4 linked regions of the Lepisosteus oculatus genome follow. The protein of the gene in region 1 binds, or shares a complex with, the protein of each later gene. Links are inferred from orthologs where the notes say so. Each region holds a gene or a part of one and is shown in the gene's direction. Other genes may lie near its edges.

Region 1 (7,557 bases):
TTAAAAAAAAAAAAAAAAGGATTCGGACACCTTCAGCACGTGAAGGTTACCTGAAGACTCCAGCTCCTACTTGAAGACGCCGGCTCTACTGTCTTTTAGCACTAGTTCAGTGCTTTGTATTAAAAACAAACCCCAACAGTTAACAAAACTGTATCAGCGCACCAAGACAGGTAAGGGCCACCACAGAAGCACATGGGCCACGCGGGTCACAAGAGCCCAGCGGTCTCCCACACGCACTCCTCCGGTGTGGGTGTCCGATGCCGACTGGACTCGACACTAGACCGCAGCCCATCCCTCTACTTCAAGCTGCAATCCAGAAAACGTTCTGAAATGCAGAGCTGGGGGTCCAGCCCGACCCGCCTCTTCACTGTGCAGCCGCTGACAGGTAGGGGATTTGGCCCGCCTGGCTGAGGTGGACTTCAACAGACCGCCCCGCGTTCCAGTGCCACATTCTCCGCCAGAGCCATGCCTGGCTGTCACACGCACTGCATAAGGTGACTGGACAACATCTGCAGCAAGGCAGCTCAAAGGACACTTGGGGTACCAACTTAGATCTTTTCTCAATCACTTTTATTTGATACAAGCTGCCTTTTTTCCCCCTCTAAGAACACTCAACCTCTTTGCAATGCTTTTTGCATGACAACATTCTCTCCTTTTTCAACCACCATAATCCTCCACAAGGGAACATAATGAACAAGCACTGCACTACAGTTCCACTAGAAGCAAACAGGATACACGTTTCTGCTCATGCAGATTGCACGGGTATTCTGTCCACCCTGACTCTAGGAAATAATATTCTTCGCCTTGCTTTAGCAATGACACAAAAGTATATGAATTTTTAAGAACAAAAGTATTAATTTCAAACAATATTTTGATGTCTTGCAAAAATACAATAGGATAGTGTACCAAGATGTAGTTCAGTCACCATTCGAATGACCTACCTACACATTGGTTAACTCTCCTGGAAAAAGCTATAGAAACAGTCATCCACGACGACCATGATTTCTAAGGCAAAAAATGCCAAATCAATTTTGAAGTGCAAGATGATTAGCACCTCACTTTGAGAAACTGTTTTCATGACAAACATTCTGCAAAAAATTAAGTGTCGTAGAGGCCTAGGTGGGTCACCCTTCGAAAGGACAGAGTACCATGAGATTCACGGATGAGATCTGTCTCCCAGTAATCAGTCTTTTCAGCCAAACTGTCTCAAGTTGAAACTGCAAACCGAGGGATGGGACACACTGCGCCCTCTTAATTCACGTCTGCTTCCGACCTGTGGCTTACCTTTGTACGTGGTGACAGGAACGTATGTGACCAGCGTGTACAGTTTGTTGGGAGAGTCCTCGTCCTCGTTGCGCTTCCTGGACAGACGCACGCGGATTCGATAGGGCACGTTCCTTCAAGCCCACCACCCCAGAAAAGAGCCAGGCGTAAGTGAGTCAAGCAAACCTCTCAGAAAACAGTGTCATGGCTCAGAGAAAGTGCTGCACACTTGTTCTACGGTTACTAAGGACCACGGTAACTGAAGCCATATGAATGCAACAGCTTATCAAAGTAGCCCAAGGAGAAATGGTTCCTGCATTACTTTTATTCTTTAGGACACAAGTTTCGTCTTCTTACTTCCAAGTATGGGTAATCATCAGCAGTTGCAATTTACGTTTCTTGACATGTTGCCAGCAATAAAAATTATTCTGCACAGTGAAAAAAGTGAACTACCAAAGAACAATACAAGAAGACTAGATAAAAAAGCACATCTAATCATCAAAGACAAAATGATCACATTAGTAAACAGTAAAATACAAACCAGGGGTCCCAAGTGGAAACGAGGGGGAAGTACAGTTATAACAGGAGACAACTCTTTACCCAAAGAGCTGCAGGGGTAGTTAACAAGCCACCAAACCATGGTGCTAAAGGTGAAAAGGCGGGATAAGACTCCTAGTGCAAGTAAATACTGCCAACTGGGCTAGAGGGATCAAACGGTCTGTTCCTGGATTTTCTGTTTCACCGCTGGAATATGAAAATGTCACCTCAGACGCTGTCGCCTAGCCAAACCGGGACTTGCCTCGTTTGCAAAAAGGTTTTCTGTTCTTGTTCACAAAACAAGGATGAGCCCTCGCCTGCTAAGGGTTCATTATAAAGTAACAAAACCGCTCCTGGCCCTAATGTAATGTTAATGTAATGTTTCTTTATTAGCCCCGTACAATTTCTTGCATTAGGAATTCGTCTTTTCTCATACCCCAGCTTGCTCTCCATGAGACACACAGACAGGGAGAGAGATGCTTGGGGTCAGAGCACAGGGTCAGCCATTGATACGGTGCCCCTGGAGCAGCTGGGGTTAAGGGCCTTGCTCAGGGGCCCGAGGGAGTAGGATTCCTCTGCCGGCCGAGGGATTTGAACCGGCAACCTTCCAGCCACAGGCACAGATCCTGAGCCACAGAGCCACCGCTCTCCCTGCTGGAGGCTTGCTGGGGGACGCGTACCTCACGCCTTTGGTCCACACCGCCTTGTTCAGGCGCGTGTCGATGCGCACGTCGGGGGTCCCCATCTCCTTGACGGCGAACTTGCGGATCTCCTTCAGCGCGCGGGGGGCTCGCCTCTTGAAGCCGCTGGGGAACAGAAGAGGGAGACCCGGTCTCGCTGGAGGTCCGCCAGAGACACGTTTTTTTTTTCGCTCCGTGGCGAACGGAGCACAGCCGCACAGACCGAAGCGCTGGCTCAGGGGAAACGGCCACCGCCAGTCACAACACGGCCCGTGGACACGACATGATGGAGGTGGGGGGGGAGTCCGAGAAGCCGAAGGGTCAGGGCAGGAAAGCGGGGGTGTGAAAGAGTGCAGGGGCCTCTATGCCACTTGAAACAAGTTTACGACATTCAAATGAACAACACAACAATAATCAGCCCTTTAAGACGAGCAGCAAGATATCTGCAACTGCTCTGGCTCCACAACCCCCCTAGCACAAACACAGCACCTCAAGCCTATTCAGACCCCCCCGACCCCGAGGACTCACACTCCATGGATGCGCTTGTGGATGTTGATGGTGTATTCCCTGGTCACCACCTCGTTGATGGCGGAGCGGCCCTTCTTCTTCTCGCCTCCTTTCTTAATGGGAGCCATCTGAACAGACAGGGGTGTCAGAACACGGGGGAGAACCGCCTTTCCCTTGCGTGAAGCAAAACCGCAGCCTTTCTAATCAAGTCCCGGCAAGAAGGTTTTTAATAAATGTATGAAATTTTAATACAGCACTTCCTGACGGACAGCGGGCTGTTTCCACGGCACCTCCAGACCGCTCTAAAGCTGCAGCCATCTGATCACAGTCTAGGCCGTGTTGGTCCTATACACCTCGGTAACAACCACACTCACAGCACCCGTGCCAGGAATCCGTCGTGTTTCACAAAACGCATTTAATATCACATGCAAAAGCAAATGTAGGCAACTTAAACGTGTGCCGATCGGTTTTCTGGCCCCATTACACACAAACTCTTAAAGACCAGCACAACTTCGCTTGCTTTAGACTTAAAATGACTGAATACTGAACAGCCAGGGCACAAGTACAGTCTGTCAGGGTTTTCAGCCGTATGCACAGAGCCGGGTATGAGTTAACTCCAGATCTGTAGCGGCAAGTCAGCTTTTAACATAGCGGGCGTTTCTCGTACATTTATGCACATCACTTCGAAATACTGTCATACTTTTATTATTTATGTACAATTCTACGCATATCTGTGGTTAAAACGAAAAATTAGGCGTCAGGAAAGGCAGGATGAAGTCGGATTTTACAGGCGGTTGAATTCTCAATGTACTCACTCTTCCAAGGAAAATGTCGGAAAGGAAGGAGTTGAGGATTCTGGGTAGTACTAAACCTGCGGAAGAACAATCACTTCCGGGGCAAAGACAGACTCGGCTGACAGCTCAATTGTTTTTAGACAACAACAATAATAACAAATACAATACAATACAAACAAAAGAACATATAACATATCAATAACATCGTCAGGGGTACATATTACAATACAAATACACATTATGAAAAAAGTTTAAACACAGTAAATAAAAATGAGGTCCGTACTGCTTTGCCAGCTCAAAATTAGAGGAACGATACAGAGCCTCACAATGAGGTGGTAATAAAAGTTGTAACTATATTGTAGTTAGGAAATAGTTTCGTTGATGCAAGTCCAAAAGCCCGTCTGTGAGCGATATTTACACCTTATTCGGCAACTCCGAGTCTGATTTGACTGTAATGTGTTTTTACTGTAACAGGATAGAAGAGTCAAGGCTACCTAGAAAATACTTGTACAAATAGGTTCTGAGGATATATTTGTGGTTTAGAAAATAATTAAAATATATTGATATAAATATATGGAGATGGAATTTAAGACATAATGAAGATGTGGGACCTACATTTATGTATACATTACTTCTTTGATCAACATTAAAATACACAACTCGTTGCTTTAAATTTCCTGTCGTTTAATCTCTGTGTGTATGTTTATTTGTATGATACACAGGTAAGGAAATCGAATGGACACATCCGACTACATTTCCCAGAAGTCTCCGCAGCGCCTCCTGTCGTAAAAAACAACCTGACGACAGTGCCGTATTTAGAAACCTTCAAAACGATTGGGGTGTTTTGTTTCTAGTCGTGGAGTTCTTATGTTAATGAATGGTAGACTTTGAGGTTTTTGTTAGATATTCATGTAATAAAACCGTCGCCTGGTCGTGTCTGTATGTTTCTTTTCATGGGAAGAGCTTGGAAGAGGGCGGCTGTACATCGTTTCAAGCAGCAAGACCGTGTGGGCTGGTAATATGACCAGCCCGCGTTGCTGAAAACACTCGGGGGCGACTGATTCGGCTTGACTTTGTGTGGTGTTTCTTTTACGAAAAACAACACCTCCCCTGGAGCACAATGACACTTGCCCCGAAGGAGCTCTCCAATCTCCTGGGGATCATCTCCGAGGAAGCCTGTACCAACTCCTTCGAGGGCCTCTCGTCCGCATTCCACCACTACTTCGGCAAAGCCGACCACTTCCGAGTGGGCTCGGTGCTGGTGATGCTGCTGCAGCAGCCGGACCTGCTGCCCAGCTCCCCGCAGCGCCTGACCGCCCTCTACCTGCTCTGGGAGATGTACCGCACCGAGCCGCTGGCGGCCAACCCCTTCGCCGCCGTCTTCGCTCACCTGCTGAACCCGCCGCCGGTGGGAGACGAGCAGGAGAAGCCGCTCTCGGGTGAGCTCTCCCCGGGCAGCCTGGCCCTCGCTGAGCCGCGCTCCGGTGACGGGCTGCTTCCGCCGTCCCCCTCGGGCAGACCGGCAGCGGTTCGAGGACAAAACACCCGAATGCGAGTTTATGAGGACCGGCTGGAGTCTGAGGGGATGGGGGGATGGGGGGACGGACGCCTGTTACCTTTTCATCCGGCACAGTCCCGGGTCCCGGGTAGCTTGAACGGAGCTACGAGTTAGCGGGGATGGATTATGTGTGTCAGAAAGACACGTTACGTTAAACGTGTTTGACCATTTTGTGTTTCGCGGACGCGCATTGGCCAGATATATCGACACAAGTATTGTTGTCTCTCCCCCTTAATTTTGTTTCTGCCGCGATCAGAAAAGCGCTCATTGCTGGCGAGGGTTTTTGCGACCGCTCTCACCCCGGCCACCCAGCGGGAAAGAGGCAAAACTAGTTTCACGACCGCCGGCCGCTGCTGATCCTCTCTTTCCTTCACAGGATTCCTCCCTCCTATAACGTTGCCGGAGAAATTCTTCCTCTCCCAGCTCATGCTGGCGCCCCCGAAAGAGCTTTTCAAAAAGACGCCCCGGCAGGTGTCCTGCATGGACGTAGGGAACATGCCCCAGTCAGTGGATATTAGCGGCCTGCAGCTGGCTCTGGCAGGTATGTGGACTGTAGGAGTTACCTATGGATGTAATAATGTTCTGACACTCAGTAGTGGCCCTATTGAGTCACTGGGCACCTCTAGTGTTGGCATATTAGCTCTAGAGTGAGGGGTGAAAGTAGTTATTGTCTGTGTTATACTGTTAAGTGTGCCAGTCTGTCAAGTGAACCTGCCAGCTCACTTTCAGAAGCACCAGCTGGATATGACTCTGTGTTGTGCCCAGTCTGCCACACACGTGGTAAAAATGAAGGACGGAGTTTATAAGGGATTCATATGGAAGTATGCTCACCTTGAATGAAATTCGTTTTGGTTAAGATTGTAAGGTCAAAAGTTGGGTTGCACTTTTAAGAAGAGTGTCTCATGTATCAGATCCACTCTGCTGCTAGTAGCTTATTGATTTAAGGAGATTCAGATGTTTCCTGTAGGTATGTACCAACCAGTCTAAACTACTTTATTACCTGGTGGTAAAAATTGTGTTAGCACAGCTTCTTTTACTATAATACTTTTGACTTTGCCCCTCCTGACCCTGTAGTGGATAAAATCTGTTAGAAAGTGGAAGGAGTTTTGAGTTTCTTTTCTTTCCCTCAGAGCGACAGTCTGAACTCCCCACGCAAAGTAAGGCGAGTTTTCCCAGCATTCTTAACGATCCTGATCCGGATTCCTCTAATTCTGGATTTGACAGCTCAGTGGCCAATCAGATCACAGAGGCCCTGGTCAGCGGGCCACGCCCACCACTGGAAAGTAAGTCTCACTCCTTCCTTTATCACACTATAAAAGGATTGAAGAACACAAAATGGAGATCTGTACATAAAAAGCATGTACACTAGGTTTAGATATTGGCAAATTGCAAGTATGGGCGTTGCGGTGGCTCTGTGGCTCAGGATCTGTGCATGTGGCTGGAAGGTTGCCGGTTCAAATCCTGCAGCCGGCAGAGGAATCCTACTCTGTTGGGCCCCTGTGCAAGGTCCTTCACCCCAGCTGCTCCAGGGGTGCCATACAATGGCTGACCCTGCGCTCTGACCCCCAGCTTCTCTCCCTGTCTGTGTGTCTCATGGAGAGCAAGTTGGGGTATGTGAAAAGACGGATTCCAAATGCAAGAAATTGTATACTTATCTTAAGTATATAAAGTATAACTTTACTCAAACTACTTCTTAAGGTTAGATCAGTAAGACACACATGGAGCCCTAGTGTTCATGTTGCTTGGCTGTGCTCGAGTAGAAATCCAGTTCTTTCGGATCATTACTCCTGCCTCATCCCATTGCCTTCATCTTCATGTGTTCAGGCCACTTTCGCCCCGAGTTCATCCGGCCTCCCCCCCCTCTCCACGTGTGCGAGGACGAGCTGGCCTGGCTGAACCCCTCGGAGCCCGATCACGGCGTGCAGTGGGACCGCTCCATGTGCGTGAAGAACAGCACGGGAGTGGAGATCAAACGCATCATGTCCAAGGCCTTCAAGAGCCCCCTGTCGTCACAGCAGCAGTCGCAGGTACGCCCGCGCTCCGGGCCCGAGCAGAGACAGCTGTGGTCTGCCCGTCCTGTCGAGAATGAGCTGAATGTGAACTTAATTCACCCGACCTGCACTTAAACTTACCGTAACTGCAAGGGTACTGTTGAGTGATTTGACGGTAAGGATCAGTGTCTCAGGCTTTGCAGAGGTGGGTGTGCTTTGTTTCTAAC
Region 2 (7,549 bases), on another chromosome or scaffold:
ACGGGGATTGGCCGAGCAGTCGTCCCAGCGGACGGTAGCTCATGGGAGGGCTGCAGGCTGGCCGTGGCGTCAGTGGCAGATGTGCCTGTCCTCCAGTCAGTGCTGCACCTCCTGTCTGCTGGTGGGCCTGTCAGGGGAACGTGTCTGTGAGTCGCGGTGTCTCCCGAGAGACAGCTCTCAGAAAACAACAACTGGGGATTCCAAATAATAAAATAATAATAATAATAAAAAATAATCAGTGGTTCCAATTTTTCATTTAAAAAGATTCTTGCAAAAGTGTGACATTTATCATACTGTATGGAGTGAGCAAATTGCTGCTCGTCACTAGAATCTTTATACAGACTTTTCGAAAGGAAAACCGAACTGGCACAGCCTCTATTTTCAAGAGTTCTGTGAACATGCCATTAAAGCTACAGTACATTAGAATAAGTCATACTTTAACAGCTAATATAAAGTAACCTGGCTGATTGATGTAGCTTTTAACTATGGCAGCTCAAACCATAAAATATAAGTAATAAGGATAATCACAGTCTTCAACAAATTTTAAGCAGGGATTAAATAATTCAGTGCAAAAATTACAAGCAATGATTAAATAGGTTTTGGATTTTTACTGACAAATGGAACGATTGTCACGATTAAGGACGCTCCGGCTCTTTCTTGTTTCTCTTGATTTTTTTGCACCTGCCCCCTGTTCCAGCCCCTCCCTACAAAAGCCAGACGCTCCCACCATTCAAGGTTCAGCTCTGGGAGAGGCAAGCCCCTTGACGGGTCCGGGGCTTGGAGCGCTTGGCCCCGTTACCCCTTTACCCCTTTTTATTCCCCCGACCCTTCGCCGGATCCCGCTCCGGCTTTTAACTCCTGTCATGGATGGATGGATTACCCGGCTCTGGACTTTTGCTCACCCTGGATTTGGACTCGTTTGCCTTGGCCACGCCCCCCCCAGCACCAGTGCACCGCCGACACGCCCCCCTGTTCTTCTCCCAGCCCCGATCCCAGTCGTCTTTCCCGTGTTTGTTTCACTCCCTTCCGGATTCCGCCGTCTGCACGGGGTCCTGAAAAACGCTCCGTGACGGCGATTTCTACTCACAAAGTTAATGGATAAACAACCTATGCAGTATGCACCCCTCCCTTAAGAGGAAAATGGGGAAAAAATGAAATGTGTTAATTGCTCAGCTAAATTCAGTTCTCTGGCATTTTGTTCTGCTGTTTGCAACGCAACTTACAGAAGAAAAATCTGCTTTTCCACTTCTTGCACGGAAAATCCGACACTTACACAAAGCTGTAAACCTTTAAAAAGTCTGGAGATGGAATCCATCAGTAATAAGAAACAGAATCGCATTTTATGTGTTAATTGAATCCCTTGTTATCATCCACACAACACAAACATGCCAGAATGATGTTTTCTTGTATTTGTGCTGACGTTGTTAAAGACAAGTGGTTTGCTTTGCTAATAGAGCAACACTGAATACATTTAAGAAATCCGGGTATGGTACAGGTTTACCTTTGAATTTAGTAGCTCTGAACATTATAATGGTTACAAACGAGGGGAGTTCATTCAGCCCAATTAGATCATCTGGTGTTTAGGGTTCCTACTGTACTTTACAGAATGCATCACATCATTGCTCCTGAAAAATAACCAATGTTGCAAAATACTATTAATACATAAAATATTATGATTTTTATTTTGAGAAATTGAGTAATTGTTCTGTATCTTCCCAAATAACGTTATCTAGTAATACATTTTTTAAATCCGTAATAACTGTAACTTTGTGTTACTTAAAATGCATTCTCCTGAGAACATAACTATACCTGAACATGAAATAACAAACTTACCTTTAAGAATAACTATTATGTAAGGATATCACTTTTTCACACCTCCTGATGTCACTGTATTTTGCCAAAAAGGAAATGGTCTATCAAGTTAATATATACTGGGAAGCATTAAAAATGGAAGCAAAAGCATCTGTTGTATTTTTAATACCCATCAATTTAAAATCCCTAGACCACATCACACTTGAGTGTAGTCTGGAAGCCAGGCATCTGAATATCTATGTTATCTATGCTACCAAAAGCTATGAAGCAGCTGGAAAATGAAAAATACAGCCCATAAGACTAAAACAAAATCAAACAGCATAAAAAATCTGAAACACCAGCTATTAAATACTATTACATCTCTTCTAATATGTAAGTATTTTAAAAGTTAGTTCAGAAATAAATACTTTAAATTGTACAGTTTACATTTTTTATTCCCACACATACACATCTCATCTTCTGGTTAACAAAAATTACATAACAATCCTTGATTCTGGCCTGTTTCATCTTGTGCTGCCTCTCATCTTCCACTATCTACTGTTCAGTGATTGACATTTTCCCCCTGAAACTTGTCTTCTGCCTCCTGAAAGCACTGGAAATGTATTGCGTAGGAAATTCAGAATTTGCGTCAAAGCTTTCCCATCTGTGTAATGACACCCTGTTATTGATTGTGTGGTGCAGATCTGCTTCACAATGTCTGCAGCTGCACTGCTGCTTGGAGTGATTTAGATTTTACAGAGCTGGGATGTTCAGACTCTGCCATTTCTCCATTAGACAGGAGGCGATCAGATGTGTGAAGTATAATAAAGATAATATGTGACGCTGTCATAAAATTTAAGATGCTCTGCAGTACCACAGAGAGGTTTTTGCATTAAATCATAAAACAAAAGATTAAGGCCCTACTTAATGCTTTGTTTTTTATGGCCATAGCTTTTCAAGTTAATTTTTCATGCTTTTGTCCCAATTTGAATGACAAGTTTAGAAAAACTCACTATTACAGTAAACTGGGAGGGAATTACTGATTGAGGCCTACTTTTTCCTTCATGGTCCTTGCCAATAGAATTGACATCAGTTACTTAATTGAACTAATTGAGACCTTTTCACCTGCTCACTGCTCCTAAGTTTGCTGCCCTAATTTCCACATTTCTGTACATTTTTAGTTAATATTAATTGAAATATTTGAGTTAATTCTAACATCCCTTGCAGTTACAGAAAACACTCAAAACTGTTTAATTATTACATTATTTCTTAATTCTGAAATTTGATTTTATAATAAAGAGATGAGCTGGATAAAAGCCAGTGGACACGGGGGGTTCTAAGACCTGGTCTGAAGAATTCCTTTTAAAATCCACTTTGCCAGTTTGGGGAGATGAGAGGGGCTGATTGAGCCAATGGTCAAATACTGACATCCAATGGATAAAATAAAGTAATGCATTCTTATAACTGAATTATCTCTTCAGGAACTGCAACTCACGAGGAGCAGATCAATTCTTTGTTTTTGCTGCAAATGCTAAAATGCCCTCATCTTCTCCAGAAGGTACACCAAGTCTGACTAGGGTTTGATTTATCACACAACACCAAGCTTCATTGTGTTGCGATTTAACAATGTCCAGTGAGATCTTTAAATTAATATACAGTATAATATGTGCTTTTGTATACTACTTTATACAGTATGTATGTATACTACTTTATCTATACTCTGTATAGATACTTTTCATCTCATTAGTTCACATACGTTTAGGAGGAAAGTCAAGCTTTCATCAAGAGCTGGCACACTGCAGTAGCACTTCTGAGAAGAGCCCCCAGCTGCGATTTATTCAGACTCTGGATGAAAAACATGAGCCCTTTTTTAAGTCATTGCTGGTAGAATTCAGGGATTGATTATACAGGGACATTCGTATTGATACAACGTCTGGTATAGATGACTGAAATGAAGAGGCCGCTAACTGGGAGGTGCTGTTAGGCATGCACATTACTAGAAGAGGTACTACTCTGTTTTAGGGCTCCACGGTTTGTATTTGCATTGTTATTTTCAAAGACATTGATTTTTCTGTTTTTTTTAAATACATCATTAACATATTTTGTTGCCGATTTCAACAGCTCATTTTACGATGTTACAAAGGAAAAGCATACATTTACATTTTGAAACAGCTGTAATTGTCTGCATTTGTGGAACTAATTAAGAGACTCTGTTGATTAATCAGAGCACTATTTAGCTTGAGTGGCTGAGCCACATACAAATTGATTGTGTGACTAGTGTGGACTGAAGAAAAGTGTTCAGTTACTGCAGAGTGTCTAAGCACTATGTTAGGCTCTACAGTCCATTGAATAATCTGTGCATGTCATTTTGGAGTGCACACATACCAGTTTAACATTTTACGGTTTCTACTGGGGAAAAATAAACTGCACGGGCAGTTGGGTTATCTGATGACAGGAAAAAATGTACTGTGAAAAAATAAGAGTTTGGAGTGCTATTTTGTCTGCTGCATTGGCTGTTACAGGATGCATTTAACAAACACAATAATACATTCACATCCCCTTCAAAGACGTGCAAACCGAGGGGGAGTCAAGATCACAGTGTTTTCGTTATTCGATGCTTAATTGGCCTTTTAATTGGCTTTAAACCATTAGAAAGACTTTTCAGCGGCCTCCACGGCGACAGGCGTCGCTGTTGCGCTCCGCTGACAGACGAACCTGATGACGTAAATCTCTTGCGTCTGAGTGCGGGGGCGCTTGTGGGTAATTTTCATGGCGGACATCTGAGAGCGATTTGTGATTTGAAATTCCCTGACCGTAAAATCGCATCTCATTCCTCTTGAAGAAATTTTCTAAATGTATTTTGTGATTTAAAGGAAAGTGACATTTACAGTTTGCAAATTGGAACGCGTTTTGACTTGAAGACTTATAAGCGCTCTGAAGCTTTGAGACGGTTACATTCTCAGAACGTAATAAGAATCCGTAATAGACAGCTGTCTGCACACTGGGTAAATAAACCGAGGAAATGGCAGATAACACAACAGGTATATATATTACGACTTTGTATTAAAAGCAGCTTTTTGCTCTATCGATAATAAAATATTTAAATAACTTATGTTTAAAAGAACAGCTATTCTCTAGATGGGTAGATGTATAGTGACTTATGTGGAGTCAGTAATGAAGTGAAGCATATTTCTGTTAGTTTATGTTATGTATATCAATGTCTGTGGTCTTTTATTCAGGATATTCAGGATATACTCTGTGTGTACAGTTAACCCGCTTTTTATACTGGTTAACTTTTTATACCCGGGAAGCATCTCCGTTGGCACAGCTATGCTTTCAATTTCCTCAGATTTTAAAATGTCGCGTACAGCTGTGGAGATGACGGTGACGTTTGTGTCTTTCTCTCGTATCTGACTGCTCTGCGGTGGTCCCGCGCCGTCTAAAGTTTTTTTTTAAGAGTTTAGATTAATCCTATAATTATGTGAATTAAGTTTGCACTTATGCGAAGAGCTATTTAAGGGATATCTTAAACGACAACGAACAGATGTGCTGGTTCCTAAACTTAATCTTAAGCAAAGGGATAGGTACCGGCTCCTAGGCGACCTGTCTTGGAGAAAGCAGTTAGAAAATGTATGAAGGTCATGAACAGAAGTTTGTTCTTTGTACTGTGTTGCTGCTGTGGTGTTTGGTGAGAGAGAGCCCAGATGAAGTGCTGAAAACATTGAGAACATGATGGCCGTGTAGATTTGCTGGGAGGGGGGTTCCAGAACCATGGATAAAATTAAAGCTTATTTTTATTTAGCGGTGCATAATATTTTAAGTTAATCATAATTAACCCTTTTTGTCTTTTTTTTTGTATAGAGCAAGGCAATGAGGCAAAACACGAGAACAATTCAGCTTCTTCTGGGATCACAGATCGGGAAAAAGAACTCGCCGCCAGTGCTTTTCAAGCATTTTCGGTAATGTGTGGTATTTGACAGAACTGTGTAATTCGTAAAAGAAGGGCTTAGGAAAAACTATTAGAAACAAATCTTACATATTGCAGTGACTTTGATAAACGTTCAGTGCTCTTGCTCTCTTGATATATGTTTTAGATGTAACAGCATAATTTCACAGATTGTTACATGGATTTAGTTTTACATGCTGTATTGTGAAATTTTCCATAATTTGAAAACATAAACTGATGCTGAAGATATTAAGTGCATTGTGACTGAGCTGTAGGCACGGCCACCCCTGAGTGTGTTGTTTAAATGAGTTTGCAGTCATGTTTAATATGTTAACCTCCACTTGCTCCATGTTTAAACTATTTTCTGTGCTATACTGATACTGAGATGGCTTCATTATTGGCTGCCTTTTAGGTGTGAACATGTTCAGAGAGTTGTGTCACCTTTTCTGTAGATAAAATTAAAAGGTTTACAACGTTTTTTTATTTTTATCCGGCGCTGTTATTTGATTTCTGCTTGACGGTCAATTTTTGCTTTTTCTTTTAGTCTGGAAGTTATGATGAATGCGTGAAACACCTTGAGCACCTTCAAGAATGGAACAAGGATGACTACAAAATTGCCATGAACAAGGCCATTGCTGAATTTTACAAAAGTGGCCAAACTACTACTGACACTTTAAAGCAGGCACTTGCCACAATGAAAAATCAGGTAACCTGCTGAAAGGAAACCTCTCTTCAACAGACTTTCCTTTGCACCTAAATTAAATTAAAGCACCTTTGTTTGACCTAGGTTCATGCTGCAGTAGAAGAAATGGACGGTTTGGATGATGTGGAAAACAGCATTCTTTACTACAATCAAGCCATTGTCCTATACCACATGCGTCAGTACTCGGAAGCTATTGCAGTAGGAGAGAAACTTTATCAGTTTTTGGAACCGTTTGGTATGTGTCTCGGTCTTTTTCTAAATATGTGTATTTGTATGATATGAATATAACCTAGATTCAGAGGATGCAAATGGTTTTCATTTCACTTATAGTATTCTTCAGGTCTAATAGGAAAAGAGTACATAGAATGTTTGTTTATTTTTATAAGAGTAAAAAAGAAACTTCTCACTGTTTTAATGCATGCATAGTTTTGGAAAATACATTTTAGGTATAGATTATATATTCAAAATTAAGATTAATTTGAATGGGCTCATGTGATGAGTTAATTTAACCTCAGGATTGTCAAACCTAAAAGAAAAATATGGAAAGGAACCAATATACCTGCTAGCCTGTTAAGTTTCCAGTAGAAGTCAAGCTCAAGTTTATTTTCATATCTACCCGTGTACAATGAAATGCTTACTTGTGTGTTTTCCTCGCATGACAAATGGAATAACAGATGACATCACAATTCTTGGAGACGGGAACAGGAACAATAATTTTAACCAGCTTTTAGATAGGAGCTGTATGCAAAATTCAGCAATGGCAGTATTTTACTACTACTACTGGTGGCAGTCTCCCACTGACAAATATTAATCATCCTATGTCAATTGTATCAATAACTGTCAGTGCGTCTGCTTCAAAGTATATCTGGAATTGTCTTTTGCCGAATATTGACTGTAAACTGTTTGCAGTTGTAAGTGATAAATATTCTGTTGATTCTAGGTATATGCATAATTCTAATATAACCTATTAAACACATGTATAATATGGATAGAAATGGAGTGCATGTAGTTAAACTGTTGTCTTTGTAGACAGTACATGTTTAAGTTGATAAATATGTGTGCTGCTACAGGACTGCAACATTGTGATAGGTATCTTGACAATAAAATGG
Region 3 (6,910 bases), on another chromosome or scaffold:
TCTCCAACCCAAACTGGCATCTTCGGGATACAAAGTATAGAAAACTGACATTCAATGTTGTCTGATGTAATGAAAGTTAAAAATTAAATAAAAATTAAGACTTGTGCATGCTCATTAGCATTCTGTTTGGTATAAAAAAGGGGAAGCTCACACTGAGAGAACAGTATACATCCAAACCAGCAAACGAATGGTTAACAGAACACAAAGTAAATGTTCTTGACTGGCAATCTATATTACCAGTCACCAAACCAATCTAACATTTGTGGTTTGAACTATAGAAGGCAGTTCACAAAAAAAAAACAATCATCTTAAGGACCCGGAATACTTCTGCCTGGAGAAGTGCTCAGAAATCTTCTATAAGAAGCACCAGAACTATACAGCACACTGCAGGAGGTGCCAGTGTAATCTATGCCAGAGGAGGATTAAAAAAATACTCACTACGGGAATGTGAATAAAAGTGATCCTTGTACTTTCGGAACTTGATTATGACAAATATGACTTTGCTTTGTGCAATGCTAATAAGATTAAAGTATGTATTACAGCTTTCCATTAAATGATGTATTTTGTTCCTATTTCAACAAGCGTTTGGATAAATCTGGAAGATCCTGTACAACCATATATATGTACCGTTTAGTAAGTGCACCATATGCTAACATGCCTTAAAGAACAGGCAAAACAGCACAATTTAGGAAAATAGTACAAATTTACCATCTGTTTTCTTCAACCTCATTCCTAACAGAGGTAGGGTGAAACACATGAAGCTCTTTCGATCTGAAAGACAAGTAAACTGTACCTGAAATATTTTGGGGACTCCTCCACTGTTGAACCTCACAAAGAGGTTGACTTTGTTGTCCTTCTCGTGGATCTCAAAGCTTCCTTCCTTCCACTTGGTGGTACCCAGTTGCAGGCTGTTGATCCGGACGCTGCCTAACAGTTTTGGCACAGTGGCTGCCATGGCTTGAAGCACAACAGACACTGGGTCACTGGATCTTCAAGTGACACCTGGGCCAATGGACAGCCCTATGTAAAACCTGAACATTTAACAGAAGGTTTCCAGTTAGACAGCTCATTTAAGGTTACTTGTAATACTTTTGAGGATAGAAACTTTTCTTGTGCTTATTCATACTAGTACTATATTTTTTATACTCTTAAATTCATTATGGACCTATACATCATTTTTCATGGGAAGCACAAACATTACATAATTGCCTAAAAACAGCTGGTTCACAACATCCTTGTCCGTGTTCAGTATTAAAACACCAATAGCTAAACATTTCTTGGGGTTATAATCAAAATGACAGGTGGTGTATACAAAGAATGAAGCAACACACCAGACTAGTGACAAATCAAAATAATAACGTTCTGGGGTGAATCTAATTGCCATGGGAGAAGGACTTCACCAATGTGACATCCAAAGATGCAGCTGCAGCCCATGAAAGTTCTACAGATAAATTCCCAGCCTTTTTTGCTTTCGTTTTGATCAATGATGGCTTAAAATATTTTCAAAACCCCTGCTCTATAACTATTATCAGAACATGTGCTGATGTCTAAACACTTCATGTCTTGGGAGGCAGGAGAGCATGACACATCCCACCAAAATTGCAAGCACTGCGGATAGACGTAGTAATTACAAACATGCAGGAACATTAATTTTGGCAAACTGTGGAACATTATTTAACAGATACGGAGCACCTTTCAGGGGAGGCGGATTCAAAGCCGTGCATTGAAACACTTTTGACTTAACACGGGGAAGCCGAAGTCCACTGATCGTTGTGTGAGACGCGCTTACAGTATTTTCACACTCATTCAGAACCATCGCTTTTAAACGATACAGCATGGAATCTAAGCACCAGACCATTGCGACTAGCAAAACCAAATCTAACGCACAAAAGAATGCAATGAGTAAAATATGCTAAGCGTATCTTACTACACCAGATCTTTAAACGATTGAGGATACCATAGATGGGGCCCGTGCTATTGCAGAAATCAAACAGCTTTCACATACAGTCACCAAACTACTGTCCTCTGCTGTTAAGTGTCTGAGAAAATCACGGGGAGCTGCCCACAACAGACTGCAAAGACACACGTGCACAGAGGCCAATAGCGAAGTACAATTTATTCCACAATACAGGTCAGGAATCACAAATACTGAATTAAAACAGATGCGCCCGCAAATCGTGCTGCTTCGCCGTATTTCGAACTGCGAAGATTTCCAAGTGTTACTTTTTTGCGTGTGTCCGAGAAATGGCACTTTTCTTGAAGTTCGTGAAGGGAAATCACAGGGACAAGACTGAGAGCAAACAGCCCGAAATTCAACGGCGACGAAAAAAATAGACACGAGAGTGAAAAGCTGGTTTCAAAGAGGCGATGCATTTTAACAAGAACACACAAACAGCCCTGGACGTGCACGACAGTCCCCATCTTCTCAGACCCATACATCGCCACTTTCTCCGGCAACATTTATTTAGAACGGAACTACCCCCAGGTTTCGGGAGATTCCGTTTTCTGGAACGTCGTCGTGGGCAGGGATAACGAAAACCGGCAATCACATTAAAGGCCGGGATAATGACAGCCACTGTCAGTAATTTGAATAACAAGAAGAGGAGGAACGCAGGACTCCGGCAATTACAACGAATAATGTCTTACGTGCAAAAGAAAGCGTTCGGTTTCCACGCTTTCCTATATTTTGCGTATACTCCCCTCTCGTCTCCTACGGGCTGGTAGCCGTGTGGCCGGCCTCCGGTAGCAACTATGTTGTTATCGTTGACAGTCGGTCCAAAACGCAGCCCCACCGGTGTGTATGATGGCGGGAACGTGAAAATCAACAACGGAAACCCGGCGCGAGAACATGCGCTGTGGTATCGCGCGACAGAGTGGCATGGCGAGAAGCTGCGCAGTGCCTTGGTTTTCTTCCTGTACTGTAGTTTACAGGGGTCAAGGGGTTGGTTACTTTTAAACCTATAAATATTCTTACCTGCTTTAAGTATAAAATGTGGAAACCTTTTTTTTCTCCTTTAATGGAGCATAGACTTGAGCGCACATAGATAATTTTGGAACTCCCATAATCCCTTAATATTGTGGTGTAATTCAAGAGAAAAACTAAACGTTTTCAAAAGTTTTCTTGCTTCTGGCTGGGGAATTCTCTTTAAAGAAGTATGTCTCAATGAGGACCCCTAATATTTTAAAAAGCACTGTGGGACAATAAATACATTACAATAAACTAGTTTACTTTGGAGTCTAGACAGTGGGTCCGGGGCTGAAAGATTGCTATTTGTAAAAGACTGCTAACATACTTTCATTTTTTTTCTTATTTTTAATACAAAAAAATTAACAGTGTAGAGCGGGTGAAAACACACGTAATTTTTAGTGTAGGAATAAAGCCTACTGAAATACATAACTTAATATGCTCTATAGGTTTGATTAAAAACTTAAGCTTTTGAAGGAGTGGAAGCCATTCAGCTCCTCTACATTGTTTGGTAGTTAATAGCAAATCGATCCAAGAATCTCATCAAACCATTTGTCAAAAGAAGCTCTTATAATTAAATAATCTTACGGCATGTAAGACATGTCTAGATTTTTTTATATCAGGAAAAAATAATTAAATAAAATATTGGCCAGCCCTTGTGAAATATATGTCAGGGACTTGTGCAATACATTTATATTTCTATTCAGTTATGTAACCCAAATATTGGCAACGCAAAGTTGAGAGGTCACGCAGAATCAAATTATATCTCTTTAATTTGTTTTCGATTTTATTTAATATTTTGTTAAAATCCTAAAACTATACGAATGTAGCATTTGTATAGATCGGTGTAAAACAATAACTGCAACCTTATCAATTATTGTAGTTTGTTTTTTTTTTTTCGGAAATGTGCGCGCGAGGTGAAAGGTCAGAGGTTACAATTCCGGCGCTTGCTGGATTTTTCTCTCTGTTTTTGGAAACAGAGCATATATTAATATTAAAAGAAAGTAAAGAAATCCAACGGAATTAAAATAGGGACTCCGCAACATTCAGGCGATCATATCCAGGCGCTTCAGAGAATGTTGGCTACAGGGGCGGTAAGATTTTATTTAAAAGTACTTTATTCCTGAAGATGCTCTAGGCCTCGGTGAAATTTAAAATTTTGACGCAAGTGTAGGGACTCCTTAAAGACTCGATTGGCTGTTAAGTGATTTCACGATCCGATAAAGTTTGTTAAATATTTATTTGTACTGTTTATTTTAGAGAGTGGGTTTAAAATATTCTCTTTCTAATGCAAAAAAGGGTATTCAGTACAGGGGTTAAAAACTACGGAAGCATCATACACAGGAGGCAGTTCAGGTCTGTGAGAAAAACAACGGCATGGTGGAATTTCATACTGGTGGACGATGTAGTTACAAAACTTGTAGGTTGTTTTCTAGATGCAGTTTAAGTGCGAGTAAACCGACACCTTGTATTTTATATATATACACCAGATAATTCAACTTAATGCCAGTGGACTACAAAGACTGATTAAAAACTGATGAAGTGAAGTTTTAGCAGCAGGTCAACTTGAAATGTTGTATTGTATTGAGAAGGGACTGGTTGGTGGAACTAGTGTTTAGTATGGATGTTGTCATTTTATGTTTTTTGCTCTGCATTTTTAGAATCCCGACACTACATTAAGGGTGTAAACAAATACCTTTTTAAATTGTTTTCCTAGTGCTTTTTCATAATTCTGTTGATAATCAGACATTGAGAGCTTGATAAGGGTTACCATATTTGAACATTTAAAAAAGGGGTACACTCCTTCGAGAGGGCTATTTGTACCATTATCTATTAGACCTTTATTAGTTGTATTACGGTTGTATATTCTGTGTACTACGTTTCGTCTATAAGTCTATATTGATCTGCAAAATTATAAAAACCGTTATGGCCTCAGAGATACTTTATTCAAATTTTACTGTATCTCTTTATATGTAGTCCTTTTCCTTCACCAGTCCTTAAGTAGTCTTCCTCCTGATGTGCCCAAGCAAATGTCTATGTAGAAAGCAGGTTTCTCAGCAGGAGAGAAGACGTTGTGGAAGTCTTTGCTAGAGGTTTGGCTGAAATTGTATGGAACAAGTAATATCCTTTTCAAGTTGTTTTACCTTGTCCACTGGCTTTACATGTGTGGAAAACCTCACTTTACATTCCTATCTTGAGTAGGAACAGCAAAGAAGAAGTATGCGGCTTTAATAGCACTGAGTTCCACTTGGTGTTTTTTTTTTACTTTTCAAAGTATTTGATCCACATCTGGTGTGATTAAATTCTTCATTATTATCTCAACCTCCTATCAATTTCTTTAGATTATTGACCTAATCAAAATACTTCACAGCATCAGTTACTGCCTCCTTATCAATCAGATCTTTGACGCAAGGTTCCACATCAGCCCAATTCAGTGTTTCACTCAGGACAATTTGTTTAAAACAAGAGAAGTCTTCAAGGGACCTCTTCTACGTCTTGAAATATTCTGAGGATTTACTATACAGATTATCTGTTTTATCACATAATGTGTCACACTCTTCAACAGATCCTTCCATGTGCATTTTCTGCCAGTAGTCCCTTACTTGGGAATATTAGAATCAAGCTTGTTATCACTTCCAAGACAGAGCTGTTTTCCCTTTCAGTTTCTTGGATATATGTTTGGAATAAACTCATGAATGCTCAGAGGTAACACTCACTTAATTCATACTCAGAATGTCTTGATCAGAGTAGGTGGTTTGTCCTATAACAAAAATGAGGAGTTAAAAGCTGGAAACTGTATCAGTCTTGTAATGTCTGGAAAAAATGACAGTTATGTCGTGCCATGAGAAAATAGCTTAGGACATTCAAAATCTATAAACCCTGGATTTGCTGGATTACCTGATTTGCTGTCTGGTTATAAAACATAATCTGCCATTTTTGATGATGAGCTCTCCTCTCCAACTGCTTTCTCATGCTTGTGTGAGTCCACACAAACTTGTAAATCATTTGCACCTTTGTCTACCACAGAAGTACCAGGTCTACATACCAAGCACTCAGCTTCTCATTCTTCTATCCTGCTTGGAAAACATAGCAATATTGTCTTTACTTCTGAAGTGAATGAGTATTTTTGGTTTGGCATTGTGTTTAGGGATAGCAAAGTAAAAAAATCAAATAAAGCTCTCTTGAGCAAAAGCTACTGTGCGCAGTCCAGAATCAGATAAGATACTGAAATTAGTGCTGTGGCTGAGCCAGTGTGGAGGTTTTGGGAAAAATCCTCTCTCTTTGGAATGAAAATTGAATGGGGCAGAAAACTAGACACTCCAACTATAACCAATACATAGTCTTGCTCACGAATAATCAGCACTCCATTTCACATTCAAAACCTTTGGAGACAAAGATATTAAGAGGAAGATATTAAGATTTGAAAATTCCTCCCAGACAGAGATCTAAGGCCTACAGAGGAGGACATGTCTGGGGGAAAAAACAATATGGTAACCCTAAACATGTTTCAATTACAAAACCAAACACAAGTCAGAGTAGTACAGGACTATGTTAGCTGTAATTAAAATCTAACTGTATCTACTATATCTGTCTTAGCTTACATAGATATAGATGATACAGTTAGATGTAGCTGTTCTATAGCAGGTTAATATAATTTGTTATCACAGTGCTGTCATCTTACTGTTTTAACTTTTTATGGTGAGATTATTTTTCATGTATTGTTGTTGCACTGTGTTGGAAAGGAGATACCATTTGAAAGCTTTACAAATGGCAGTCTACAGTACCTAAAGTGTTTTAAATGGTTTTCATTATTACAGTAGCAAAAATCCAAATATCAAAATCCGTTTGTAGGCTCCATTCTCTCAGACCGTCTGCATTCTTTCCTTGCAGGCTGTAACCACAGCGCTGGCGCAAGTGGATAGGGAGAAGATCTATCAATGGATC
Region 4 (7,682 bases), on another chromosome or scaffold:
CCTGCAGTGCTGGCAAGATTATCTCTTGTCAATAGTGGTGGAAGATTCTGTGCAGAGGGAAAACATCTACGGATCACAATTTTTTAATTCTAGCAGTGTATCATAATGGTCACAGGTCGTATATTTAATGCAGTTTGTATTTGATACCCAGATGGTGGGATGTATATAATTCCTGGAGTTACACATACTGTCTGATTAAGGGGTGACACGTAGCACTGTATCATAAAACATGCTATATAATTAAATATCAGCACATATCAACTTTCTTTCTTTATTAGGATTAATATTCCGTGCTGTTTACTTTGTTGCATTTGAAGTAGCAGAAGGCCCATACTTATTTTATAATGATCATATTGAGACTCATTGATATTTGACACTCAGAAATTAAAATTTCTGAAATTGTAATTTCAGCCATAGTAATATACAAGTTTTATTTTTTTTCCAGTCGAATGAAAAGGGTGATGTACTCAATCCATTGATCACAGGAGTCTTTCTAGAGGTAGGTAATTTTGGTATCTTTCAGTATGTCTTTTTTAATTCTTAATATTTACCAGTTGGATTGAAAATATGACCAGAAGCCGAGCTACTGCTGTTGCGTTGACCCCAATTTACAAAGGCATTGTAACTTTAAAGATTTGTCAGTTCGAAAATATCTTGCAATAAATTAGGAAAAAAACCAAGAATGCATTTGCTGTCTGGACAAAGAATTAAGAGTGTACAATCACGAGTACAGAAAAAAAACAAACTTCAATATTTTCTCTTTGCTCCACGATGATCGTGTAGTTTATTTAGTGTGTCTGTGACTGATTTTCCCCCAGGCTTCCAACAGTGCGTCTTATGTCCAGGATGCCTTCCAGCTGTTGCTGCCAGTATTAGAGATCGCCCACATCCAGACCTGTACAAACTCCGCACAGCTGTGAGCAGCGCTTGGAGCTCACCTGTGCCAAAGCCGGAGGTGGGCCGCGGTGTGTCTGACCCGGCCATCGTTTCTGCTATCCTGCTCAAGATAAACCGACAGTCAATAAACCTGGCGAGATGGAAACCTGTTCTGTATGCCTGACACCTGTGAGAATGAACAGAACCACAATATCAGATCATAGGTACCCAGAATGATTTACTGCAGCACACCTGATTAATTACTTGAGTGTAATGTGTGTGTGGTGCCAGAGAGTCTGAGCTACTTAACTACAGTAGGTTGTAGTACACCTTGAGGACACAATCTGAAATGCAGTGTGGTAAAAGTGTAGGTTTTACCTTTACATAATTCAAACTAATTTTTGTTTTTGTGGAGTTAGAAGTAGGTAGAATTCGGTTGCTGTTAAATGCAGTAATGTTGCTAGTCAGTTCTTTTGCAGGTCCTTTTTATCAGCACCTCTCACTTAAAGTATTGCTGAAATTCAACTATTTTACAGCATAATCTGTTTAAAATGTAAGAGATTTGATTTCGTTAGCCTTAGTGTAAATAGGAAAAGAGTTTGTTCCATGTGCAGTGTGCCAAGGAAACCTGTGAATTTGAAAACTAAAAATCATTTAGTTATTTTCAAAAATTTAACTCCTATATTAATAATTTCAGCACTTCTCTAAAAAAAAGTGCTGAGGATCGAATGTTAAGTGATATTTTTGAAAGTTTCATCTGGGAGTGTGCTTTCATTTTTTTTTTAGTAACAAAACACTGTCCTTTGTGAAGATTGTGAAGCGTTGAAGTGTACATTAGTCAGTTGTACAGCTTTGCTATGATGCGCCTCGTTGTACAGTTATCCTACATACACCACCATTGCCCCTTGACTCCTGGTGGGATTTAAACATGATTAAAATTAAGACTCAGTTCTCTGTATAGCGCCCACGATCCAGATGTGAGTATGGACTGCAGTGCCCATTGAAACAGTTGCAGCAGGAGAGAGGGGGCTGCTGGCAAATTTGTCACACAGGAAAGTATGAGCTGGTACAGACAGGGAACATGACTGCAGTGCAATTCAGATATTTTTACTGAAACCACAAGAAACATGCATTTTAAAAATGTAGCAAAGCTACTCCTGAGCTGCTTGATGGACACTGAGAGACACTGTGTAAGGCTACAGTAAATTGCCAAACCTGGTAGCTCCTTCTGTATATATTTATGTTATGTGTTTGTACTTGTATTGAACTAGCTACATGTTAAGGCCAACGAGTCCTGTTGTATTTTTTTATTGTATTGAATTCAATTCTCTTACATGAAGTGTATTTTTAGAGTAAAGCTACAGTATGAAAAGCACGTAGTATTTAATGTTCACAATATCACAGCTGGTTTTAACTATTCTGTCTCTTCCTTCTCTTAGAATTATGCAGTGTTCTCCTCTTATACACTGTACTGTGCATTTGCACTTAACCATCAACTAACCAAAAAATACTAAAATATTAAAAGTATCGTTTTTTACGTAACGGTATTTATGTTTATATACATTAACATGAATTTGTCAGGGCTCTGTATTACAGTATTGTAGCAGTAAGGATTGTTTTATTAGACAATTGGTAAAAAGTGTGTAAAAATGTTACCAGTTAGATAAAAATGAAATCCTATTTAATTGATAAAATGGAAGGGATATTCCAAGCACCCTGCTATTAGACTTTGACAGCCCCTCCCTCAACAAGAGCGTTGTAATGAGGCTGAGCTGTTATCAGTGAGCATGTTGTATTGGTAAGCAATAAAAGATATCCTGTTTGAGCTGTTTGAGCTGCCTTTGTATAGTACTATGCTGGTTTCCTCCCACAGTCCAGGTACATAGTGGTGGGTTAATTGGATTCTGGGAAAACTGGTCCTGGTGTGAGTATGTGCGTGTCTGTGGGTGTGTCTGATCACAGGGCCACTCCCTCTGTGGGTGTGTCTGATCACAGGGTCACTCCCTCTGTGGGTGTGTCCAATTCCAGGGTCAACTCACCCCCCCCACTGTCCATGTGTCCAATTAAGAGTCACTCCCTCTGTGGGTGTGTCTGATCACAGGGTCACTCCCTCTGTGGGTGTGTCTGATCACAGGGTCACTCCCACTGTGGTGTATCTAATTACAGGGTCATTCCCACTGTGGGTGTGTCCAATTACATTTACTTCAGATGTTATAAAGATCTGTGTCTGACAGAGGGCCCCTGAAGTGGGGTATTTCTGATATAGCAGGACTGACTGAAGAACAACATAAAGATCTAAACAAGTGAGCAGATCAGTTATGACATCTATTAGCACTGGACATTCAGAGTTCAGCCGGAATGAAAAGCACAGTCTTGGCTGGGAACCAGTGCTCTAGCAATATACAGAAGAAAACCTTTCCTTCCTTTTGTCAAACAAGAAGGACTCCAGGATTAGAACCCTCATTGTAATCAGAGTTTCTCTCCATCCAGAGAATGAAAAGTATTCAGTTTTGTTCTTAATGCTAAATTTAACAAACCACCTGTTTTGCTGAGGTCAAAGCATCTTGTCGACTTCATGTTTACCTCCAAAACATGTTGGACTGGGGCTCTCATGGATCAAAACATTTCCTAATATAGGAACAAGTAAAGGTTTGTTCCTTGCTGAAAAGAAGAAACACAACGTTTCGGCAGTGGAGCCTTCTTGGGTGTCAAGGCCCGAGAGTTTGTTTCCTTCTTCAGGTGTCAGTGTTTCAGCTGTTGAGAAGGCTCCACAGCCGAAACGTTGTTTCTTTTCTTCTCTTTTCAGCTGGAATAAACCTGTACTCATTCCTTTGTAGCCTACACCTGCTGACACAGCTCCCTCGAACTAATTCCTAATATTTACTGATGGAAAAAAGAAACGCAACACCTCCTCCTCCACACTGCGTGGAACGGGCTGAAGAGTGACTCATCCGTGAGGAGGACCTGATGCCACTGCTGACGAGTCCATCGCAGCCTCTGTCTGGCCCAAGCCAGTCGGGGTGACGTACAGTCTGTGAGCAGAGGGCCTCTGACAGCTCATCTTCCTCTAAGGCCAGCAGCCTGGAGCCTCACTGTCCTGTCACTGATGCAGGCATTGTGTCTGCTGGCAGCTTCAGCAGCAGTACGGGTGGCAGATCTGAAACAATCTCTCAGATGGACCAGTCTGATGTGTCGGTCCTGCTCGGGTGTGGTCACCCAAGGGCGACCGGATCTTGGACAGTCATCTGTCCTGCTGGTCTGCTGAACCTTCCGCAGTCGGGACACAGTGGAGTGGCTTACCCCATAGTGTCTGGCAACGCTGCCACAGGACAGGCCTGCCTGCTGCATGCCCATGGCCCTCTCCCTTGCTTCTGGTGACATTCGAGGCATTACGGAATGCACAGAAAACTGACTAAGTGTGGCCTTTTCTTGCAGTGACCTAAGCTTTTAATTAAGGCTCTTTTAAAGGTGACCTGATCAGGCATTGTTCCACCTGGATCCCCTTGGGTAAAAGTGCACCTAACAAACTTTTGTGTGATTGGCAAGTTGCAATGCCTCACTGCACAAGCTGTACTGCTGATCAGAGGGCTTGAATCAAATTGACATCTTTTTGTGAAAGTACATAAGCTATAACTACAGTATTCTCATTGCAGACAATATTGCGTTTCTTTTTTCCATCAGTACACATCTCGGTCCCGGGATCCTATACAGACGCTTCTCTCGCTGCAGCAGCGGGTAGGCCGCCCTCCCACGTGACTGCGCCGCACTATCGTAACCGGGTCAGGGGTGAGAGGGGCTGTCAGTGCGCCTGCGCGGAGCTACTACTGCGCCTGCGCGGAGCTACTACTGCGCCGTGCTCGCTTTCGACAAGGGGACCAGGATCAAGCGGCAGCTTCAGTATAAACTGAGGGAATTACCGAAGTAGAGCTGACCAGGTACTTCACGGAAGCGCCTGAGATGATCAGGAGCGCCGGGCCTTTCGCCTCTTGTGGGAAGCGGACGGAGCCGTGATGGCTACCGGCTGGGGTTGAGGTTGAGGTTGGGGTTACGCGGCCCTGAAGTAACGCGAGAGCCGTCGCAGAATAAAAACAGAACGCGTTCTTGCTTCTGTCCGCATTAAACATAGCATTTCCACGTCAAACAGATGGGTGATAGCGTTGACGCGTCACTCCAGATGAAAATCAAGTCCCTTGCGGTTGCTTTTCTCGAAAGCCGAGGTTGTTTTGGTTTCCGGGGGGGTTAACGCGCGTTGACTGTTTCTGCGGCTTGTTTTTCATAATGGCATCATCTTCTTGCGTTCAGAAGGACATTAAATCGCTTTACAAACACCCTTCCTTCCTGCAAGTCACTTATCAGTAGACCCGTGTGTTCTTAATGTCAAAAGTTCTGCTGGAGTCGGGTACTTCTGCGTCCTATTAAATCCTGTATCTGAAGCCGCTGGGATCAAAAAAGCAGATCTGATGTTTGTGGGCTTATTCGTTTCTAAAAAAATATCTGACGAGTCTCTTTGTCATACGGGGGATGTAAAATGACATGCAGTGTTCCACAATAAAATGTAGCACCTAGATATTTTGCAACTAGAAGCCTGCAGTTCTTGAATGAATTAACAATCCACACGTGGTCATAACTTTCTTTTAAAATCGGTATCTGATAACAGTGTCCAATTGAATACCAGTATCATGGTCAGACGGCAGCCGTTTGATTTCGTCTTCAAACGGAACGACGACACCGAGTTTTATCTGTGTCTTTCTGCGTTTCAGGGTTTGCCTGAGAGCCCGTCTTCCTGGGTGGTTCAGAGGTTTCCCGGGAGTTTTCAGTCATTTTCCCCGACCGCGCAACATGCCTGCCGCGCTTGCAGATACCAGCCAGATTATCTGCGAAGTTTGGGCCAGCAATGTGGAAGAGGAAATGAGGAAAATCCGACAAATTATTCAGAGTTACAACTACATCGCCATGGTAACTACTGGGTTTGGGTTTAGGGAAAAGCCTGCGTTGTTAATTATTGTCAGAAAGGACAACGGTTCCAGCGAAATATTAGTTGGTGTGTCTTTGGTGATGGTAACAGATTGTAACTGGCCATGTCTGACTGTCCTCCCAGACAACTTTCTCACAAGATTCAAATTTCACAGCATCATTTACAAAGTGCTAGCAGGCAGGACAAGCATGTCTTCATACGGAAAGCTGGTGTTAGTTGCAGTTGTATTGGTTGTTTATAGGTTACTCTGTCCCCAGTCCCTGAAGAACCTGTTAAATATGGGTGTTCTAAGTCTGTTTCATTGTGGGACGCCATTTCATTGAGGAGGCCGTACGACCCAACTGGCCAGTTCGGTAGCGTTATTATTGATCCCGGGGCCTCACCCTGCTGTTTTCTTGAAAAGCCCAAGTATCATCTTCAAGCAGGTGGTGGGGTAGCTTGTCCCAGACTCTCTGAACCTTCTGGGTTAAAAAAAAAAGTGCCTCTTGTTCTCAGTTTTAAATACACTTCTGGGTAAGTTCGTGTCTCACTGACCACTCTGAAACTGTCCGCTGGGTTGGTTTAGTTGGTGGGCCCGGGCAGCAGGTGCCCGCGTGGTGTCCTCACCTCCCTGAGGCTGCAGGGCATGTCCTCCTCCGTCCTGCTGAGGGAGCAGGCTGCCCCACGCGGGAGTGCGGGGAGGGTGAGCTGTGCTCTGCCTGTGCTTCCCCAGGACACGGAGTTCCCCGGCGTGGTGGTGCGGCCCATCGGCGAGTTCAGGAGCACCGTCGACTACCAGTACCAGCTGCTGCGCTGCAACGTGGACCTGCTGAAGATCATCCAGCTGGGCCTCACCTTCATGAACGAGAGCGGGGACTACCCGCCCGGGACCACCACCTGGCAGTTCAACTTCAAGTTCAACCTCACGTACGTGAGAACCCCTGCGGGCCGACGCCGACAACGCCGCCGCCGTGATCCGGGCCTCGCGGGCCGTGTCTTCCTCCGCGCTCTTCATTACGCAGCCCTGTCTAACCCTCTGCTTCACCGCCGTGTCTGCCCGAAAAAACATCTCATCGGTTTACACTGAAAAGTTTATGCCGGATCAACCCATCTGTTAAGAATTTTCTCTGGTCTGCTTGAAATAATAGAGGTAGAAAAAATACGAGACATCATATACAAAATACAGTATAATGCTGCACTGCAGTGAAGATAAAATCCACAAATTTACCATCTTATTTCAATAATAGAAAAACCTTTGCAGTTTGATGAATTTCTCATATTTAAGATCTTTTAAAACCAGATCACTAGTCAACTGCGTCCTGCTTTCCCAGTTCAGGTTGTACGTTCTCCATGCTCTTTTCAGATGGAGGCGGTACGTGATCCTTAGGCATCTCGAGAAAGCTATCGGGCTCTTTTGAATTGCTTTGTAACAGATCTGTGTTGCCAACGACAGCTCCTGGGTTTTAATAACGCTCCTGCGCTGACGTGGGCATGTTTGATGTCTGTGCTTTGATGGTGTGGGCGAAAGTCACTTTGGTTTGCCGTTTCAGGGAGGACATGTACTCTCAGGATTCTATAGATCTTCTGCAGAACTCGGGGCTTCAGTTTAAGAAGCACGAGGAAGAGGGAATCGACACACTTTACTTTGCCGAACTCCTGATGACATCTGGCTTAGTGCTGTGTGAAAATGTCAAGTGGCTCTCCTTTCACAGGTAAGAGACCTGAGAGTAAGGTGATAGTATATTACTGTCAAGGAGTTAATAGAGGAGCTTTAGATATAGGGAATAACGGGTTGTGCAGCGTTGACACGATCCAGCACTGGCAATGCCGGTGCCTCGTTTCCGGTTTGTCT

What was found.
Region 2: cnot11 (region 1) and cnot10 share a complex: the UniProt entries of both Homo sapiens proteins name them as parts of the CCR4-NOT complex. The link is inferred for Lepisosteus oculatus from reciprocal best matches to the Homo sapiens genes CNOT11 and CNOT10.
Region 3: cnot11 (region 1) and cnot9 share a complex: the UniProt entries of both Homo sapiens proteins name them as parts of the CCR4-NOT complex. The link is inferred for Lepisosteus oculatus from reciprocal best matches to the Homo sapiens genes CNOT11 and CNOT9.
Region 4: cnot11 (region 1) and cnot8 share a complex: the UniProt entries of both Homo sapiens proteins name them as parts of the CCR4-NOT complex. The link is inferred for Lepisosteus oculatus from reciprocal best matches to the Homo sapiens genes CNOT11 and CNOT8.

What each region holds. Positions count from the first base shown.
Region 1 is NC_090710.1:31,025,753-31,033,309, reverse strand, and holds the start of cnot11 (CCR4-NOT transcription complex subunit 11), read left to right. Parts: upstream 1-4,557; 5' UTR 4,558-4,901; coding exon 4,902-5,220; intron 5,221-5,715; coding exon 5,716-5,880; intron 5,881-6,469; coding exon 6,470-6,622; intron 6,623-7,163; coding exon 7,164-7,366; intron 7,367-7,557. Other genes in the region: rpl31 (large ribosomal subunit protein eL31), read right to left, coding at 1,285-1,397, 2,481-2,606, 3,009-3,115. UniProt on the Homo sapiens protein: Component of the CCR4-NOT complex which is one of the major cellular mRNA deadenylases and is linked to various cellular processes including bulk mRNA degradation, miRNA-mediated repression, translational repression during translational initiation and general transcription regulation.
Region 2 is NC_090705.1:42,669,446-42,676,994, forward strand, and holds the start of cnot10 (CCR4-NOT transcription complex subunit 10), read left to right. Parts: upstream 1-4,545; 5' UTR 4,546-4,813; coding exon 4,814-4,832; intron 4,833-5,652; coding exon 5,653-5,750; intron 5,751-6,281; coding exon 6,282-6,443; intron 6,444-6,524; coding exon 6,525-6,675; intron 6,676-7,549. UniProt on the Homo sapiens protein: Component of the CCR4-NOT complex which is one of the major cellular mRNA deadenylases and is linked to various cellular processes including bulk mRNA degradation, miRNA-mediated repression, translational repression during translational initiation and general transcription regulation.
Region 3 is NC_090707.1:21,038,926-21,045,835, forward strand, and holds the start of cnot9 (CCR4-NOT transcription complex subunit 9), read left to right. Parts: upstream 1-3,895; 5' UTR 3,896-4,041; coding exon 4,042-4,059; intron 4,060-6,856; coding exon 6,857-6,910. Other genes in the region: usp37 (ubiquitin carboxyl-terminal hydrolase 37), read right to left, coding at 794-955. UniProt on the Homo sapiens protein: Component of the CCR4-NOT complex which is one of the major cellular mRNA deadenylases and is linked to various cellular processes including bulk mRNA degradation, miRNA-mediated repression, translational repression during translational initiation and general transcription regulation.
Region 4 is NC_090706.1:40,669,748-40,677,429, reverse strand, and holds the start of cnot8 (CCR4-NOT transcription complex subunit 8), read left to right. Parts: upstream 1-4,678; 5' UTR 4,679-4,811; intron 4,812-4,941; exon of another isoform or gene 4,942-5,093; intron 5,094-5,636; 5' UTR 5,637-5,715; coding exon 5,716-5,832; intron 5,833-6,563; coding exon 6,564-6,757; intron 6,758-7,380; coding exon 7,381-7,542; intron 7,543-7,682. Other genes in the region: protein FAM114A2, read left to right, coding at 446-499, 819-920. UniProt on the Homo sapiens protein: Has 3'-5' poly(A) exoribonuclease activity for synthetic poly(A) RNA substrate. Its function seems to be partially redundant with that of CNOT7.